Drosophila melanogaster: one gene and its partner. The protein of the gene in region 2 interacts with the protein of the main gene of each other region in a pairwise test. Each region holds a gene or a part of one and is shown on either strand. Other genes may lie near its edges.

What was found.
Region 1: the proteins of su(w[a]) (region 2) and Bug22 interact in binary tests that used the Drosophila melanogaster proteins (3 or more experiments, as listed by UniProt).

What each region holds. Positions count from the first base shown.
Region 1 is NT_033779.5:10,429,219-10,432,616, forward strand, and holds Bug22 (basal body up regulated gene 22), read right to left. Parts: upstream 1,701-3,398; 5' UTR 1,497-1,700; coding exon 1,221-1,496; intron 1,165-1,220; coding exon 841-1,164; 3' UTR 702-840; downstream 1-701. Other genes in the region: CG5188 (uncharacterized protein), read left to right, coding at 1-441, 497-693; TfIIB (transcription factor IIB), read left to right, coding at 2,185-2,201, 2,259-2,670, 2,726-2,960, 3,024-3,307. UniProt on the Drosophila melanogaster protein: Cilium- and flagellum-specific protein that plays a role in axonemal structure organization and motility. Microtubule inner protein (MIP) part of the dynein-decorated doublet microtubules (DMTs) in cilia axoneme, which is required for motile cilia beating.
Region 2 is NC_004354.4:1,031,473-1,036,623, reverse strand, and holds the start of su(w[a]) (suppressor of white-apricot), read right to left. Parts: upstream 3,309-5,151; 5' UTR 3,223-3,308; exon of another isoform or gene 3,217-3,222; intron 1-3,216. Other genes in the region: CG14630 (uncharacterized protein), read right to left, coding at 3,568-4,201, 4,514-5,100. UniProt on the Drosophila melanogaster protein: Regulator of pre-mRNA splicing (and, possibly, of other RNA processing events). Regulates its own expression at the level of RNA processing.

The DNA of each region.
Region 1 (3,398 bases), on a different chromosome or scaffold from region 2:
CCGATCAGATTGATGCCTTTGCGCATGAAAGAATTCTCGAGTCCAAAGCGTATCCGTCGCCGCTGAGATACGCCGGCTTCCCAAAGTCCATTTGCACGTCGATCAACAATATCGCCTGTCACGGAATTCCGGATGACCGGCAGTTGGCCGATGGGGATATTATAAATATTGATGTCACAGTCTTTTTGAACGGCTACCATGGCGACTGTTCGGAAACATTTCGGGTGGGCAACGTGGACGAACGGGGTGGCTTTCTCGTGGAGGCCACTAAATCCTGTTTGGATCAGTGCATTTCGCTGTGCGGCCCCGGTGTGGAATTCAATGAGATTGGAAAGTTCATAGACAGATATTGCGACGAACATGATCTGGCATCGATAGCTGCTTTCATTGGACATGGAATCGGTAGCTATTTCCACGGCCCCCCGGAGATACTACACTATTGTAAGTAAGACTGTTTAAGAGACTCCTCCATTGCTAATCAAACTGCACATCGTAGATAATGAGATTCCTGGAAAGATGCAGCCCGGCATGACCTTCACCATTGAACCCATTCTGTCCCTGGGCGGAGCAGAAATAGCAGTGCTGCAAGATGGCTGGACGGCCATTAGTTTGGATGGCGCACGTAGCGCCCAGTTCGAGCACACCATTCTGATAACCGAGACGGGAACGGAGATACTTACAAGAGATCAATAGAATTTTATGTACATGATGCAATTTTTATTCGTGATTCCCATAAAGTGTTGAATGAGTGCTGGATGGCAGTCTTGTGCATTTTGTGCCGTTTTAATCGTCGACTCCGTCTGGTTAGGTGCTCTAATTGATTGATGATGCATACAGAATTTAGCTACAAATCGCATTGGACTTCTGCACCGGCTTCTGAATGGGAAGGAAGAGCTTAAACTCCGGCGGCAGCTCGTCCTCCGAGTAGAGACGATCGGAGAAGTAGACGCGTCTGATGCGGCAATTTGCATGAATCTGTACACGGAGTGTCTCCACATAATTGGTGCCGTATGCGCGACGCGTGAAGTCGGACAGGTTGAACTGGATCTGGTTCCATCCCTCGTCCAATCGCATGGGCATGGTGCAAATGAAAGGCTTGACACGAGTTGTCGACTGGTAGTTACTGGCCCTAAACCTTCGCCGCACGTTCTTGTCATCGAGAACCTGATTAGGGGCGGAAATCATGGAGTTACTGTCTTATGCAAGATGACGAAGCTTACCTGAACCTCGAAGGTGAAGTACTTCTTCATGTTCTTGATGATCATCACCAGGAAGGGCAGCTTGATGCCCAGCGTCTTCTTCGGATCTGCCGGACATGTTATGAACGTGGTGCTGACATTGGTGCCGACTATTTCCAACACGAGGCTTTGTATGTCGTTGTCGGTGATCCGCTTGATGTGTCCATTGCGCACCTTCTTATCCCACAGCTGCAGTGGCTTTGAGCCAATACTGTACAGAATTGATAGGAATCCCGATTGGAAAGTGTTTTTGAACATTTCGCGACTGCTGTGCAGTGACCGGTTCGCCCCACGGAGAGTATAGTCTCTTCGAAATTTATATAGGGCCAGTTAAGGTTGGCCGTAAATTTTTCGCACAGCCGAAACTCGTACAAACTACGAACATCAATGCGGAACTTGATTATTTTCTCATGTCAATGAGTTTGTTTAGCACGGCATCCTGTTGTTGCCATAACAATAAGCGAGCAGGGTTGCCACGTTTCCAAATGCTTGAACATGCTCGCATGTTTATGTGGGGTGCGAAATTGCGAAGTTGAAGGCCTGTCTCGCTTATGGAACGGTGAAAAAGAAACAGCTTAAAAAATAAATAATAACATGCGTTAATTTGGAATTGGCTAGACAAAAAACATCTATTATTGTTAAAAATTTTTATTTATGAATTAATAACTTTTAATCAAGTTAAAATGGTGCTTATTATTAACAGCATGGAAACTTAAAATATAGAACATTAATTGTGAAAGTAAAACAGATTGCTAAAATGCTAAAGGTGGTTAAGTTATTATTAACAGCAAGAAAACTTAAAATACAGAAAAATAATTATTAAAGTTGACTTTCCCATATTCCGATTTCTGTGAAGCAAAAACCTAAGCAGCTATCGAGTTATCGGGCAAAGTCACATCACCAGTTGATGTGAGTATTAAAAAAATATATAGCTTACAGAGTACAAATGGCATCGACATCGAGGTAAAAGTCGGGTTTCCTAACAATTTGTGAACACCAATAATGGCTTACTGCTTGCAGACTGGACAACAACAAGGTGTGCTGCTACGCACACCCCGAATCTCCGCTCATCGAGGACTACAGGGCTGGCGATATGATTTGCTCCGAGTGTGGTCTGGTGGTTGGGGACCGCGTAATTGATGTGGGCTCCGAGTGGCGTACCTTTAGCAACGAGAAGAGCGGCGTGGATCCCAGTCGTGTCGGTGGACCGGAGAATCCGCTGCTCAGTGGCGGCGACTTGTCCACCATAATTGGTCCGGGCACAGGATCCGCATCCTTTGACGCCTTTGGAGCACCCAAGTACCAAAACAGACGCACCATGAGCAGCTCGGATCGCTCCCTCATATCAGCCTTTAAGGAGATATCCTCGATGGCCGATCGCATTAACTTGCCCAAAACCATTGTCGATCGGGCCAACAACTTGTTCAAACAGGTGAAATTCGAGTTCGCGGTTGATTTGGTTGAGACCTCATGCCGTTTTCTTGTAGGTTCATGATGGAAAGAACCTCAAGGGTCGTTCCAACGATGCCAAGGCATCCGCTTGTCTGTATATAGCTTGTCGCCAAGAAGGAGTTCCTCGCACATTCAAGGAAATATGTGCTGTCAGCAAGATCAGCAAAAAAGAGATTGGCCGTTGCTTTAAGCTAACATTGAAGGCTCTCGAGACAAGTGTGGATCTCATAACCACTGCGGACTTCATGTGCCGCTTCTGCGCCAACTTGGGTAAGTGTTTTTACACTTTCTGTACTTGAAGGTAGCAGGATTAATACCTATAATTCTTATCAGACCTGCCGAACATGGTCCAACGCGCTGCCACGCACATTGCAAAGAAAGCCGTCGAGATGGATATTGTACCGGGACGTTCGCCAATTTCTGTGGCCGCAGCCGCAATCTATATGGCCTCACAAGCATCCGAGCATAAGAGAAGCCAGAAGGAAATCGGTGATATAGCCGGTGTGGCCGACGTCACCATCAGACAGTCCTACAAACTTATGTATCCGCACGCAGCTAAGCTTTTCCCCGAGGACTTTAAGTTTACCACTCCCATTGATCAGTTACCACAGATGTAATTCTTTTCGTAGATCCGATGCTCAATACTAACGCTAACGTTAAGTGAAGGAAAATTCCTAATTTAATCACAAATTACGATTTTATTAAATA
Region 2 (5,151 bases):
TTGCGAGTTTCCCTGTTCTTGGATTACTCGTACATTGGCATTGTTTCTGTTGTAGTTGTTCTGACTGTTGTTACGGCCTCTGTTTCCATTATAACGGCCTCTGTTATAGCCATTATAACGGTTATTATTTCCATTATAGCGGTTTTGATAACCGTTATTCTGGTAACCGTTATTTTGGTAACCGTTATTTTGGTAACCGTTATGGTAGTTGCCTCTAATACTATTGTTATTAAAGCCTCTACCGCGGTTACTACCTCTATTGGCATTTCCGTATCCTCTATTGGGTCTGTTACCTCTAAAGTACATCACTTTATTGATGTCACCGGTAACTCTTGTACTCGTTCTTATGTATGCGCTTATCGCTGCATCCATAGTGGTGCAAGTCCCTGCTTCCAGTACTGTTTTGATACTTTCGTGCTCAGCACGATGTATCATGGTTTCAATTGCCTCTTTGGTGCTTAGACCAGTGGCATGTTCTAGAGGTATACCCTCATCGATATAGGAAGCTTCTAAAAGTTTTCTCAGGCTATCAACTTCAGCGGTAAATTGCGTTGCAGTTTTACCTCTCTGCTGAACTGTTGCTAGCTTTGCTTTGACATTACTGGATGTCTCACCGACAACTACTTTCTGCAATTTGTTTATAATTGCTGGAATTGTCGTTTCATTGTCAACTGAGTTCAAAATTGTGCCAACTATTTTTGACTTAATGACCTCAACTGCAATGTCTTCAAATGGTCCCTTAGCTAGGTCTACCAATTTGATTGCCTTAATGAATCTTTGTAAATGGATCTTTTGCCCATCAAATTCTGGCACTGTGCAGGCGACTTCCCTAATGTAAGACCTAATGGCAGCTGCTTCTTCTGCCATGGTTAAGTTATTTTCGGAGTCGGCTGCGTTATTTGTTTTATCGTCGTTCTTCAGCATTAATTTTGCTGGTATAGTTAGATCGTGAAGATCTTCCTCTTTAATGTCTTCCTTGACTATAGTCCTATCTTCCTCGTCAGAGTTAGTGCTGTCTTCATTCAAATTTATTCTTAGTGGGGTGTTTACTATGGTTGGAATTTCTATCTGGAGACTGAATTTATTTTTTATAAATATTAATTTTTCTCTTAATGTCACCAGTAGGTTCAAAGCCTTAGCACACTGTTTGCGTTCCAAATTCTTTCTATTTTGTTGGATCAACTCTCTGATTTCATTATAACTATTTACCAAGACTTGGGCATTCCTATTGATTGTTACAGCTTGTGTTGATCTGTTTTGCGTTAAGCACTTATAGGATTTTCTGAAATTTTCATTTTGATCTTTTATCTGATCAACAAGCTTTTCCCAGTCCATGCTGTGGTATACTCATAACTTCAAATTTATTCATTTGTATATATTTTTTTTTTAATGTAGATAAATTCAATATTACGTTTTATATTTTTTTTTATTTATTATTTTTTTTTTTTTCATATAATTTTTCTCATATTTTCATTCATAATTGACTTTATTAAAGATCTTCCTTAAATATTATCTATACCGTTAGCAGTGCTACGGTATCGTTTCTTAAGACACTTGTTATGCAGTTTGTATATTTTTATTAATGCATTGGATACCATAATTAATGCAATTACAATTAGTATTATGGTTATCCAGAACAAGTCTGCATTTTGGACTTCTACTTTATTTATTACATTGGCTGTAGAGTCCACAGTTTTAGTGTCTATTAGACCCATTTTGGGTATACTAATTTTATATTTTGGAGAATAGAATAGAAAATTTCCTTTGTATATACTTTTATTTTCAGTTTTACTTATTTCATTTGTCTCTATAGACATTTATGTTTGGAATTATCTATTTATAAAATCTTTCAATGTTCGCAAGAGTAAAAAAAAATTGTATTTTACATTGTTGCCTGCCTGATTCTAGCTATGGCTTCACGGGCCATATTGGGTTAACAGGGCATAATAGTATATGCTCCGTTTTACAATATTTCTTACAATTTTTCTTATCTATATATATTTTATATTTACTTTATATTTATATATATTTATTATTATATTCTGCTGTTGATGATGCTCATCAGGTGTCAGCTGGGCGTCGCCGGGGGTGGCACGCTGACACTCCCTCGCTGCTGTCTATTTGTTGGGTGTCAGCTGGGCGTCGCCGGGGGTGGCACGCTGACACTCCCTCGCTGCTGTCTATTTCTTCGCCGCTGAAGACGTCGATGGTCGCTCACAAGTCCCCAGGCAGTGGGGACTCCAGATTCCTTCGCAGCCAGGGGGGGCAGGACTTCTTTGGTTTTGTTAATGCTGGTGCTGGTGCTGGACATGCCTGGTATTTTGGAACTTCATTAATTGTGGGTATATTTTTAATATTATCTGAGTGAGTTTTCTCGAGCTTATGGGTCTTTAATTCTTGCTGATATTGCAACAAGTGGTCTAGCTCTGCATGTAGCTTTAGAGCTTTCGACCAAACCGGTGGCGTTTGCTGACCGTATATTAGCCACCTTACGTGGGCTATACGTTTATTCAGCTTAGTTTTCAAACCGCCACGGTGTTTGCCCATACTCAATAGAACTCTACTCACTCAGATTTTTCCTTGGTTTTTGCAGTTCCATTTAATTAGTCCAGTCTTCTTCCAGTCCAGTGTTCCTTTGTTCCTTTGTTTTCACCAGCTTTGGTCAATTCGTCCAGCGTTGGACGACTGTCACGGTCGCCATGTAATGATGAACTCCAATTAAGAACACAAGTCCGTTTTAAGTTGAAGGCAGCCGTCGGGCTGACATATATTTATTCAATTTCTTCTTTTGATTTTAGAGTAGGCAGAAATGGTTCTGTCAGCTCAACGTCTACCGAGTCTCTCCCTGATTTTACAGTTTTTTAATATATTTGGACTTAGGCTAATCCGCGTAGCTGCGCTGCCGGGTACGCCAGCAGCGGAGCGGCGTTCTTATGTATATCTTATATATCTAGGCTTATCGGGAGAGCGAGATATGTATGTACGTATGTAATATGTATTTGGTCGGCGTGTGAATGCTGACCATGCACTTATACTTTTTGCCTTCGAGTGGGCAATGCACTTATACTTTGTGGCCTTCGAGTGGGTGATCATGTTACATCCGCCCTGGCCTAACTGCGTGCATAAACATAAACATAAACATAGCAACAAAGTGCTGCCATAAGTTAATATGCTATTTTATTTAATTGTTCTTAATATTGCATAGGCACATACTACACTCATATTTCGGGCGGTGTTTGGTTAAATTCTCATATTTCCATTATATTTATATTTGTATAAATGTAGTACATATATTATGCTAGAGGTGGCAGTTATATCGATGTTATCGCGATGCCAGAGCGGAGTTACTCAACCACGGCAGTATCGAGAAGTGCTCGACCACTGGGCTTGTATCGATAGTATCGGCGCCGTTCATCGTAGGATTCAAACACGTTTCAAGTGAAATTCATTTGCAAGTTGAGACACAATATTTATACACCTCCCAAAATTTATTCGCTGTGCCATGTGTAAAAAAAAACCATTTAATTCACAGTTACATTTCAACTAAATCTCACAACATTCCCTCAGTCAATCCTTGGCATTTGGGAACTTCAGGGTTCGCAGCTTGGAGTAAATAATGTCCCAGTCGACGTAGGCGCCCACCAAATGACGCTTGTTGCCCGGCGCATCCTCGTAAGCCGTTCTTCCGTGCAACATTCGCAGGTTGTTGAAGACGAACACATCGCCGGCTTGGGTCTTGAACTCCACCGCCTCGGACTGGGCGATCTCAAGGAACTTATCGTAGGCTTTGTACCAGGACACGGCCTGCGCCAGGGAAACGGAGAACCGGCTGTCCCGCTTAGTGGTGTTCTGGTTGATCCTCGCGAACCGGCCATCCACATCCAAACAAATTACTGGCGCTCTCCAGAGACTGTGGAAGGGCTTGGAGTCATCGCCGTCGTGTCCGATGTCAAACCAGTTAACGGGCACCGACTTGAGCACCTCGAAGTCCTCCGGATGCAGTTTTTGCAACTGCGAGGCCACGTTGAAGCCATCTGTCAGCGTATTTGCTCCACCCTTTGACTCCGACTGGACGAGGGTGTGCAGGATGTTGATGCCCGCCTTGTACTCGTAGTAGGGCATGTCGGTATGAAGCGGCAGGGGAGTCATTAGATAGGCGTAGTTGCGCGCATTTGGTTTGGATTTAACCTCGAAAACGTCGCTAGGGGAGGCGGGATAGTAGATAATTTATAGCTGAACTTGAGTAATGCAACTAAGGTGTTTTCCCTTTTAATTTATGAAATGTGGCTAGCATATTCTGTAGTAGTATCTAGCGTGAGTAAGTGGTAATCAAATCTTTATCATGAGTACAAATGGACACCTGGTTGAAAATATTTGCCTGATTCTGGCTGTAACAATCAACCGATAGTGATAATATTTAGTGGACTGATAGATAATACAGCTCTCGGCAAATGTGAGTTTTATGACCCTGGTACTGTACGATGAAGTATGTCATCTATTGGTTAATATTTACCCGTAGGTGGTGCGTTTTATGTAGCCAATTCGTTCGGCCAATTTCTTAGCCACATTTATGTCGTTGGGTGCCCCTTTCAGAATGGCGAATCCTTGGACTGCCAGTGCCTCAAGCCAAACTCTCAGGGCTGCATCTTGCTCCAGCACATCCTCGTATTGGAATTCTCTTTTCACATCCTCGAACTCCGTTTTTCCCCAGAGTTGAGCGGGTGGCTTGTAGACCTCCTCCAAGTAATGCTTTCTGCCAGTCTCTCCAAAGTCCCTTTCCCTCAGCCAGCCTAGATCGAAGGTGCTCCTGTGCTTGTCCTGCCAGATGATCTCCAACTGTTTCCTCTCCTTGTTGTAGGCCACTTGGGACACTGGTATATTCAGCGGGCCACGATCCCAGTGACTTTTTCTTGCTCTTGTGGCGGCGTGGAAGCACTCGGCACACTGACAGTTGTCCCTAAGCCAAACTTGGGGGTACTTCAGGAGATTGCCCTGCTCCTCCTGGACTTCTACATAGTCGGGGCATAGTCGCACACAAGCAAATGTGCTCGCCTGCCGAAGAAGGCTCAGCCGAGAAATAAGTTGCCTACAGCTAAGCATTCCAGGCTCAACTGCCGAGCAATCAGGTGATGGCACAACAGGCAGGCTGGC